Oryctolagus cuniculus: one gene and its partner. Each later gene encodes a partner of the first gene's protein in a complex. Links are inferred from orthologs where the notes say so. Each region holds a gene or a part of one and is shown on either strand. Other genes may lie near its edges.

Region 1 (5,174 bases):
CTATGTCCTTAATGTTTTTGTCACACCCAAACTTCTATGCTGAGATCCTAAGGCCCAAGGTGATGGCATTAAGGTGGGATTTTGGGGAGATGATTCAGTCTTGAGAGTACAGCTTTCATAAATGGGACTGGTGCCCTTGTGAAAGAGGCCTGGGAGAGGCCCCTTGCCCCTTCCACCATGTGAGGACAAAGCAAGAAGTAGCCACCCATGAACCAGGGAGCCAGATCTCAGCAGACACTGAATCTGCTGGCCTTGATCTTGGACTTCCCAGCCTCCAAAGCTGTGATGAATGCATTTCTGTCGTTTGACAGTTCCCAAAGCTATTGTGTTAGCAGCAGCCCAAATAGGATAGGACGATGGGTGATGCGACACTCTTATTTTTAGCACCCAGAAATCTTAGGTGAAGACCTACATAGTACCAGCTGTCTATACATGTAGCATGACATAATATGCAAGGAAATGTCAAAAAGGAAAAAAAGAGATTTTCAACAAAAAGACTTCCTTTCAAAGATCTTGTGGATTTTATGAAGTGAAAAAAAATAAGAGGGAGAAATTTACTATGTATATAAAAAAGAAAATAATACTATTTTTTTAGCTTTTAAATGTTTTTATCTAGAACTAACAAGAAGCAACAGTGGTCGCCATTGTGTGTTTGTCTGTATGTGTATGTATGTGTGTGCTTGGGAATTGAGTAAAATGGAGGACCTAGAAGGAAAGGAGCCTTCCATGGTAGGATTTTTAATCTGTTTGTAACTTTTAATTTTGAGCTAATCTAAGACCCTCAAGAAGTTGCAGAAAAAACACAAGGAGTTCCCAGGTACCCTTCAATGAGATCGTGTTATATAACCACTCTACATTATCAAAACCAGGAGACTGGCATTGGTTTGGTGCTGTTCACTCAGTCACTGACTGCATTTGGATGGTTGCCAGTTTTTACCTGTGTGCTTCTGTTTGGCAGTCAGTTCTATGAAATCTCAGCACACTCAGGATGCAAAGCTGCTCCCTCTCCCTTACTCCCTTTTTAAGCAGATGTCTCCCCCAGAACTAACCCCTGGAAAACCTCTTAGCTGTTCTCCATCACTGTAATTTTTGTTCCATTTAGTACTTTTTGATGTTTGAACCATGTGAGTCAATTCTTTTGTTAAATTTCAAATAAATAATAAAAGAGGACCAAATAACTCTCCACTGTGTGTGTGTTCTAGTGGACTGTCAGGTTCTAATTACTCTTTTTTTTTTTTTTTTTTTAAACTGCCATTAGGTACAAGTTCTCTTTCTTTTTTTATTTTATTTTATTTTATTTTATGAACATAAATTTCCAAAGTACAGCTTATGGATTACAATAGCTTCCCCCCCACCCCCCAATTACTCTTACGGAGCAAGTGAAGTGGTTCATGCCTATATAACCAGACCCAGGCTCCAAGAACACCGAAGACCCAGCATTTCAGCTGTTCTCCAGACCCAGGAATGTTTGGTGTTCAGAGTCTCTGGGGCTGGCAGGCAGACCCCACTTGACACCTCCCACCTGTGCCACGGTGGGTTAGGTGCTCTTTGTCCCTTACTCACCTTGCGCTTGGCAGAGACTTGCTCGTGGTAACGGTCAGAGGAGTCCCCAGGGATCTCACTGGCCCACAGTGTGATGCCCACTATGGTGTATGCGTAGCCAATCACCAGGAGGGGGAGGAAGTAGATGAGCACAGTCACACAGATGTGGTACCTGCAACAAGGAGGATAGGAGGGGCTGCTCTAAGAAGCAACAGAGGTGGGTGGTGACGGCCTGGGTTCCTTTCTCAGCATTTGCTGTTAATAAGCTTGGGCTGTAAGGACATCCCAAGGAGGTATGCTGTTTGCATAGGGTGGATGAATGACTAATGGGTGAAATAGGGAAAGCAAATCTCTTCCATTTATGTTTTTCTTGTGGACTTTTCCCATAGTAGAGATTACTGTTCAGATTGTAAAGAGAAGAGAAGCTGATGAGGGGAACTGAATTAATTGTATATTAATTGTATATCTATGGGGACTGGCACTGTGGTACAGTGGGTTACACTGTGCCTACAGTGCCGGCATCCCATATGGGCGCCGGTTCAAGTCCCGGCTGCTCCACTTCCAATCTAGCTCTCTGCTTTGGCCTGGAAAAGCAGTGGAAAATGGCCCAAGTCCTTGGGCCACTGCACCCGTGTGGGAGATCCAGAGGAAGCTCCTGGCTCCTGGCTTCGGATCAGCTCAGCTCCGGCCATTGTGGTCATTTGGGGAGTGGAACATCAGATGGAAGACCTCTCTCTCTTTGGCTCTACCTCTCTCTGTAACTGTGTATTTCAAATAAATAAAATAAATCTTAAAAAAATTGTATATCTATGGCAATTTCAGTTGGTGTTAGTGCAGTATCACTCCACATAAAAGAGATAGCAAATTTTGATGGCATTAGCAGAAGTACATGCTCTCAAATGAAGGAGGTATGCCTTCAGTTATGTCTGCTGGACAACACTTAATGCTCAATTTCAGTGCAAGGATGTAAACAAGTAGACCAGTTAGACAATGGTTGATGGATTCCTGGATATCAGAGTTAGAGAGGGGGGAGTGAGATAAGACTGATCCTAGAACAGTCTCTGGAGGAAAGCCACAGGGTAGAAGCTATTCTTGTGCATGGCCCTTGAGAACACATCTTCAGATGGAAGTGCCTGGGTCTCTGAGCCACCACTTGGAGGAAAGATGCCAGCAGAGTCACATTTGACTGCAGCACTAGCAGGAAACAGACCTTTTGCAGCATAACACCACTCAGATCCTGGAGCTTATTCCAGTGGCAAAACATGTCCTACTCTGTTTACATCAAGTCTCCTTCTAAGTAGGAGACCCAAATAAGTTTTTTTTTTTTTTTAATTTTGAGAAAGATTTTTTTTTTCACTCAGAGCATCTTTAGCTTGTCTAGTTACAGCCCTTAATCCAGATGTGAGTGTAATGAAGGGGCTCAGCATTCCTACCATGATGATGATGGTGATGAAGAGAACAGCTAACTTTACTCTAGGTTATTGTGCTACTAATAATATTAATGGTAGATATGTAACAGAAATGGTAGCTAAGTTGTGTTGAGTGTTTGCCAAGAGCACAAAGTTAGGCATTTTACTGGCATTATCTTACTGAAAATTTACTCCTTCAGTTACTGGGTAGGCACCATCATCATCCCATCTTCTAGATGAGGAACCTGAAGCTTAGAATTTAGTCAGTTTGCTAAAATTCACAGCTGATAAAGGGAGAAGATAGGCTTAGAACACAGGTCTGTGACCCCAGCATCAGCTTCTTTTCACTGGATAAAATTTATCCATAAATTGTTTTCTTCCATATGTTGGCAGTCTATGCTTATTCTCTGTGATGATTGTCTCGCAATAAGGAAAGCCCACTTATTCACTAAATATCTCCCTTGTCTATATGCTGTTTACATTCAATCACTTCTTGGAAAGCCCATAGTTTGCCACTTACTTAGCCTTCTCTGATTATTAAAATTTGCAACTAGAAGATACTCCAAGAGTTCTTTTTTTCTTTAATTAATATTAATTTTAAAAATTTATTTGAAAGATTTACGGAGAGAAGAGGATAGAGTGAGAAAGAGATCTTCCATCCACTGGTTTATATCCCAAATGTTCACAACAGCCAGGGCAGGCCAGGCTGAAGCTAGGAGCCCAGAGATTCTTCTCAGTCTCCCATGTGGGTTTAGGGGCTCAATCACTTGGGCCATCCTCTGCTGTTTTTCCAGGCACATTAGCAGGGAGCTAGATTGTAAGTGAAGCAACTGGTGGGCACTTGACCTGGTGGGCACTTGATCTGGTGCCCACATAGGATAATGGCATCTCAGGCAGAGGCTTAGCTTGCTATGCTACAATGCCACCCCCCAACAGTGTTCTTTTTAAAAAATATTTTATTTAAGGAATGCAACTTCATGCATTTAATATATATATATATATATATATATATATATATTTGGAAACATGAGGATTCTTCCCCCTCTACCTCCCTCCCACCCATACTCCTGCCCTTCTTTCTCCCCCCTCTTCCTTCACCATTCTTATTTTTCACAGAGATTGATTTTTCATATAGTTTTTATACTCATAAAATTAATCTTACACTAAGTAGAGAGTTCACCAATTAGTATGAAGAAAAAAGAAAAAAAAGTTCGACAGTCAGGGCAAAGGCTGTTCAAAATCAACGCATCTTAAAGTGTCAGTTTCACTCCTATAGATTGCATTTTAGGTACTCTTTTAGTTACTACAGATCAGAGAGAGAGACCATATGGTATTTGTCTTTTTGTGACTGGCTTACTTCACTAAGTATAATGGTTTCCAGTTACATCCATTTTCTTTCAAATAAAATGATTTCATTTTTTACCCTCTGTGTAGTATTACATAGTGCATATATGCCATAATTTCTTTATCCAATCCTCAGTTGATGGACATCTGGGTTGATGCCGTATCTTAGTTATTGTAAATTGTGCTGAGATGAACATAGGGATACAGATCACTCTTTCATATGCTGATTTCATTTCCTTTGGATAAATTCCCACTGGATGGCTGGGTCATATGGTAGATCTATATTCAGCTTTCAAAGGATACAAATAGGGAAGGAAGAAGTCAAACTATCCCTATTTGCTGATGACATGATTCTATATATAGGAAACCCAAGAGACTCCACAAAGAGACTATTGGAACTCATAAAAGAGTTTGGTAAAGTAGCAGGATATGAAATCAACACACAAAAATCAATAGCCTTTGTATTCACAGAAAATGCCACAGCTGAGAAGCATCTTCCAAGATCAACCCCATTCACACTAGCTACCAAAAATTTAAATATCTTGGAATAAACATAACCAAGGATGTCAAAGATCTCTACAATGAAAATTACCAAACATTAAAGAGATAGAAGACATAAAAAAGTGGAAAAATCTCCCTTGTTCATGGATTGGAAGAATCAACGTCTTCAAAATGTCCATACTACTGAAAGCAATTTATAGATTCAGTGTGTTTTCCCATTCAAAATACCAACATTCTTCTCATATCTAGAAAAAAATAATGCTAAAATTCACATGGAAACACAAGAGACCCCAGATAGTTAAAGCAATCTTATACAACAAAACCAAAGCTGGAGGCATCACAATACCAGACCTCAAGACATACTACAGGGCAGTTATA
Region 2 (5,684 bases), on another chromosome or scaffold:
GTGTATCCCACTTCCCATGCTGGATTATTCTCTCCTTTTTAATTCTATCAGTTAGTATCAGCAGACACTAGTCTTGTTTATGTGACCCCTTTGACTCTTAATCCTATCATTATGATCAATTGTGAACTGAAACTGCTCACTTTGACTAGTGAGATGGCATTGGTACATGCCACCTTGATGGGATTGAATTGGAGTCCCCTGGTATGTTTCTAACTCTACCATTTTGGGGCAAGTCAACTTGAACATGTCCCAAATTGTACATCTCCTCCCTCTCTTATTCCCACTCTTATATGATTATATATATATATATTTTAAATTTGTGTTTGTTTATTTGAAAGGCAGAGTTACAGAGAGGCAGAGGCAGAGAGAGGGAGAAGGGTCTTCCATCCACTGGTTCACTCCCCAAATGGCCATAATGGCTGGAGCTGAGCCAGGAGCCAGGAGCTTCTTCTGGGTCTCCCATGCGGGTACAAGGCCCAAGGACTTGGGCCATCTTCCAGTGCTCTCCCAGGCCATAGCAGAGAGCTGGATCAGAAGTGGAGAAGCTGGCTCTTGAACCAGCTCCCCATATGGGATGCCGGCACTGTAGGCGGCAGCTTTAACAGCTATGCCACAACGCTGTCCTCATCTTTTTATTTTTAGAATCCTTACCTTTTAGATAGATACACTAGAATGTTTGCAGATGAAATGATGAGATGTCTGGGATTTGCTTCAAAATAATCTGAGTGGAGGAGAAATAGGAAGTACTGTATTTGAACAAGCAAATTGCTTCAAATCAATGATCTGTTCTACTTTTGTATGTTTATAATTTGCCATTTAAAACGTTTTGAAAACTAAAACAGGAAATGCTCACACTGTGAGGCTAGGTCAAAAAAATTTGAGAGACACATGAAAATTTCAAAATTCACTGTCATTTAAGAACAAATATTGGAGGAAAAGTATTACTGGTATACTTAAGTTCCGAAAACTTATTTCCATCGTGCATTGTACTTAAAATTATAATTACCTGAAGTTTTTAATACTAAGTATAAAAGAGAAAACTATTCCACCCAAAATACAATGTCATTCAGTTTTGATAAAGATGCAAGAAACGAGTCTCCAGCAGCATTGTGGCCCAGTGGGGCTAAGCGGCTGCTTGGAACGTCAGATCCCATAGTGGAGCCCAGGTCCAAGCCCCAGCAGCTCCACTTCCAATCCAGCTCCCAGGGAAGACGGCAGAAGACAGCCAAAGTGCTTGGGCCCCTGCACCCACATGGGAGACCCAGATGGAGCTCCTGGCTCCCGGCTTCTGGCCTAGCCCAGGCCGGATCGTAGAGGCCAAATGGGGAGTGAACCAGCCCACAGAACTTTTTCTCTATCTCCCCCCAACACACACATACACGCACGCACACACACACACACACACACACCTGTAATTCTGCTCTTCAGGTAAAGGAAATGTGTCTTCAAGGCAAGCGTGCACTCCCGGGAAGCTGTGATCTCCAGCAGGCGCTGACCTTAGTTTCCTAACAATTCTGTGCTGTGGACGACTGCACGGCTGCCGGTCCGCGTGCTCACTGCACCGACTTTGATGCACAGGCGAAGTCCCCGCGGATGCCTTGGGTGACACCAGCTAAGAGTGCCGGGCACGTGCAAGACAGGGTGGGAGAGAAGCAAAAACGCCCTCCTGTGCAGGGCGAGGAGGATTTGGGGGACAGGAGCCACCTCGGGGCGCCTCTGGGTGCAGTTTCCCTAAAGCGTATAATAAATCCTCTTCCCTCCCCGGAAGCGCTATGAGCCTGAGACACCCCTTTCTCAACGCTGGGGAAGTGTGAGTGCTGCCGGGGATTTAGGAGAGGTGAAGGCGGGAAGGCCCACGGAAGCGCCCCCTCCGTGGCCCGCTGGCCCTCGACCCGGTCCTGCTGCCCACAGGTACCCGGTCGGCTGGCTTCAAAACTATCACTTCTCCAAAGTCGGCCCAGTCCAAGGAATGAGTCACTTTGCTGGAGGTTGATGAGTAATCTCAGGTGTCAAGGCGAGGGGAGGGGGCGTCAGCTCCGCAGACGGATGCGGAAGCCTCGACTTGCCTAACACTGCGTCACTGCGGGCCCAGTGGGGTCCAGATGTGATGGGCACCGACGGGTTGCCGTCTCGGAAACTCTCAATCACGCCGGCAGAGAAGGAAGAGGCGGCTAATTAAATATTGAGCAGAAAGTCGTGGGGAGGGGGGGCGGGTCACGTGGGTCCGGAGGCTCCGCGAGCCGGGGATAAAAACCGCGCGGCTCCGAGCGGGCCACAGCGCGCGCTCACCTCCTCCCGCACCGCGCGGCGTGCGCTCCGAGCAGCCCAGGGACCCGCGGGCCTGCCGTCGCCGTAAGTGCCCGCGCTGGGCCACAGCGCAGCCATCCCGCGTGGCCGGGGTGGGAGACTGACCCTCTTCTTTGTCCCGCGGGAAGGGAAGTGCGATTTGGTGGTTGGGGGCTGGGGGAGCCTGGGACTGCTGGGATTTGGGGAGCAGAGGCCCGGGACCCAGGCGCGCTTCTCATCCCGGTTCAACTCATCCCGGGTGCCGTCTGGGGGCCGAAAATGCCGCTGCCCCAACTCGCCGACAGCCGCTCCGATCAACGGGCTCCTCCACCCCACCTCCCGTCCCCTTCTCTCCCACTGCTCCCCAGAAAGCCAACATGAAAATCCTCGTGGCCCTGGCAGTCCTGGCTCTCGTCTCCACCCAACTGTCTGCGGAAGACATCCGAGCCAACGATGATCTAAATTATTGGTCCGACTGGTCCGACAGCGACCAGATCAAGGTGAGCCCGGGTCCGGGAACAGCCCGCGCCGCTCCTCCGGGGCTGGGACCCCACGAAGTCTGCGGGTCCGCCCGGCCGCGGCCACAGCAGTGCGGGCGCGCAGTGCTGGGAAGTGGCTCCACCACCCTACCCCACCCCACCCCCTCGCTCCCGCCCTGGTTCTGCACCCAGGACCCAACTTTTCTCCCTGGGGCTGCAGCGCAGGGTCTGGGATCTCTCCGAGAGAGTCCAGTCCGCCCCTACGAGCCCCGGGTTGCCAGAAGGCTGGAAACCTCGCAAGGTTTCATCCCCGAGCGACGCTGCTCACGCAGGTGCAGTCTCCCGCCCTGTCCGCGCGCTGGGAAACACACGGGGTCCCCGGGGACAGGAGCGCTCAGCGGGGGCTCACTGGTCGTTGCGAGTTCATTTTGCGGACCTGCGAGTTTCGCTTTAGGTGGCTCTCGTACGTGTTGGCGCCAGGGAGCCTGCGGTGCGGGTTGCGGGGAAAGCACCCCCTCCCCCCACCCCTGCAAACACACACACACCTGTGTGTGTTCGGGGCAGCAAGAGGTCGCTGGAGCCCGCACCAGGGAGAGACAAAGTCACGGCGGAGGGCTGGAGGGGCTCGGGGGAGGGCGGCTCTGCAGATGAGCAGGGTCCGTGGAAGCAGAGGGGAGAGCAGGGCTCCGGGCCTGAGGACACGGCGCGGGGCTGGAGTGGTGCGGGAGTGGCAGACCGCGCCCGACGTGGGGCAGACCCCCCTCCCCCCTGGGCAGAGCTGGCTTCCCCGCCCGGGCCTTGGCTCGCTGGGGCTCGCCCAGGGCCGGGGCGCGCTTTGGGAATGGCACGGGCCACCCCGCACCTGGCTCCGTGGCCCACACGCCCGTGTGTCCGCGCGTCTGTCTTCCAGGAGGAGCTGCCCGAGCCCTTCGAGCACCTGCTGCAGAGAATCGCCCGGAGACCCAAGCCTCAGCAGTTCTTTGGATTAATGGGCAAACGGGATGCTGGTGAGATGGGCAACCCTCCCTGCCTGCTCGCTCGTGTCTTGCTCCATGAGTAGATAAGTCCATCCTAAGAGCGGTGGGACTCGGGACCTCTCTAAGGCGCTGTGCACACTTGCCTGCAGAGGGAGGGCTTCGCCGGCATTCGAGTGCACAAAACCGCCAAATCCAGGACCCAGCCTTAGCTCAGCGCGCCCCTTACTAAGGATACCAATTAGCAAGGGAGGGGCGGGCGGGGGCGTTCTTGGGGAGGCGTCCGCAGGGTCGTGGTGCACGTGGAAGCTGACCACCCCCCCCCCCCCCCCCGGGTTAGGCGAGACCTGGCTGTGCCGAGGCTCCAGATGGAAACACAGTTTCCCTGGGTTGATGGCGACATCAGTGGGACGTAAATAGTTAATGCCAACTCCTCTCTTGTCAGATTCCTCAATTGAAAAACAAGTGGCCCTGTTAAAGGCTCTTTATGGTAAACACTCTATCAATCTTTGACTATCGTGAATTCTCATTAGAAAAGTGAAGGAAATCTTGTAGGGCTTGAACGCAGTATCCTGGTTATGCTGTTTGGTAAAGAGATGGGTCTGTCTGTCTCTCTCTCTCTCTCTCGCACACGGGTGGGGTGTCAGGCCTTGAAGATGAGAGGTGGCACAGCTTGACAGTTAATGCCAGACCTCAGGTGTCCCAGCATCTTGGGTGTGAAGCCTTGGTCTAGAGAAAGCCCTCGGTGATGGTTCTTTGGGCTGTAAACTAGTTTGCTTTTTATTATGAATAATCTGGTTAGCCTTTATGGTCCCGCTATATTTCTCAGGGTGGGACAGGAGTGGAATATGTTGCATATTTTGAAAATCGATGTATTTTAGCAGCCTCTTTAAGAGATGTGATAGAGCTCTGCACAGATCTTGCACGTGTTGGTTAACTGTTACCTTTCTTCCTGCCAGGACACGGCCAGATTTCTCACAAAAGTAAGTTCAAGATTATTTTGGCATTTCTCAAGTGCAAATGTTAACAAGACTGAATACCACTTTATGCAATAGCTGACCTTAATTTCAGTCTTAACATAGACTTAATATGTCAATGGAGACTATATAAGAGTGGATGAGACTCCTATTATATAGAATATGATTGCGTCAAGCTCTGTTTCTTAAAAATATGGCTCTTACCAAAAAGATACTTGATGTTTTAAAAAGGAAAGGAAGCTGTCCTTTAGCCCCTGTAAATTGTTAGTTTTTGGTAAGAGGTCAAATCACAGGATTGTGACCCACCTCACACAGTCCTCTCCAGCCTCCCCTAGTACCCAAATCCAAGTATTTATGGGCTCCTTCTCACTCACCTTAATATGCTGGGTCTCCTAGAAGATCATGTTTTGAGGTCATCCAGCAGGCAATTGAGTGAATGAGGGAGTGAATAGCTAAGTAGAATCCATGTAAAGATAATGATGGACATGAAGATCTTTGGTTCCATAATGCAGCGGGAAGCTTTCGCCAGCCAACACACAGGGAGCATTTGTTGGGGTGGAGAAGATGTCAGAGTTATGCACTTGAGGGTCCTTAGATTTTAGTATCCCGGTGACTGGAGCCAAATTGACAGGAAGTCCCAGGGTCCGCGTTAATCACACAGTACATCTATGTGCCTTGTCTTAAATTGGGCTGCCTGGATGGCAAAGTAGATCGCATTAAACTAACAGCCCTAGTCCCAAGGATACTGCAAAAATCAAGAGAAATTCTCCCACTAGAATTAAAATAATAAATCTTTTCCAAAGATTTTTATCTTTGAAAATAAATAAATGCTATACATATTTACTTTCTAAGGACTTGTCTATCAAGAGAATTATATATAATGAAGTTCTATGTGAGAGAAATAAATGTACTCTATTAAAGTCAAAACAAATTCACTCTTCCAACAAGAATAGACTATTTTTAAAGAT

Evidence for each region. Proteins that work in one complex are often made in the same cells at the same time.
Region 2: the proteins of TACR1 (region 1) and TAC1 are in contact, whole or in part, in a cryo-EM structure (PDB 7P02), measured with the Homo sapiens proteins. The link is inferred for Oryctolagus cuniculus from reciprocal best matches to the Homo sapiens genes TACR1 and TAC1. Residues at the interface, in NP_001049.1 of Homo sapiens: Gln24, Phe25, Asn85, Asn89, Tyr92, Ala93, Asn96, Trp98, His108, Asn109, Ile113, Gln165, Met174, Arg177, Val179, Cys180, Met181, Ile182, His197, Val200, Phe264, Phe267, Phe268, Tyr278, Leu279, Ile283, Gln284, Tyr287, Met291; in NP_003173.1 of Homo sapiens: Lys60, Pro61, Gln62, Gln63, Phe64, Phe65, Gly66, Leu67, Met68.

The regions. Positions count from the first base shown.
Region 1 is NC_091433.1:127,837,375-127,842,548, reverse strand, and holds part of TACR1 (substance-P receptor), read right to left. Parts: intron 1,715-5,174; coding exon 1,564-1,714; intron 1-1,563. UniProt on the Homo sapiens protein: This is a receptor for the tachykinin neuropeptide substance P. It is probably associated with G proteins that activate a phosphatidylinositol-calcium second messenger system.
Region 2 is NC_091447.1:38,673,944-38,679,627, reverse strand, and holds the start of TAC1 (protachykinin-1), read left to right. Parts: upstream 1-2,194; 5' UTR 2,195-2,352; intron 2,353-2,654; 5' UTR 2,655-2,663; coding exon 2,664-2,786; intron 2,787-3,675; coding exon 3,676-3,772; intron 3,773-4,184; coding exon 4,185-4,229; intron 4,230-4,698; coding exon 4,699-4,722; intron 4,723-5,684. UniProt on the Homo sapiens protein: Tachykinins are active peptides which excite neurons, evoke behavioral responses, are potent vasodilators and secretagogues, and contract (directly or indirectly) many smooth muscles.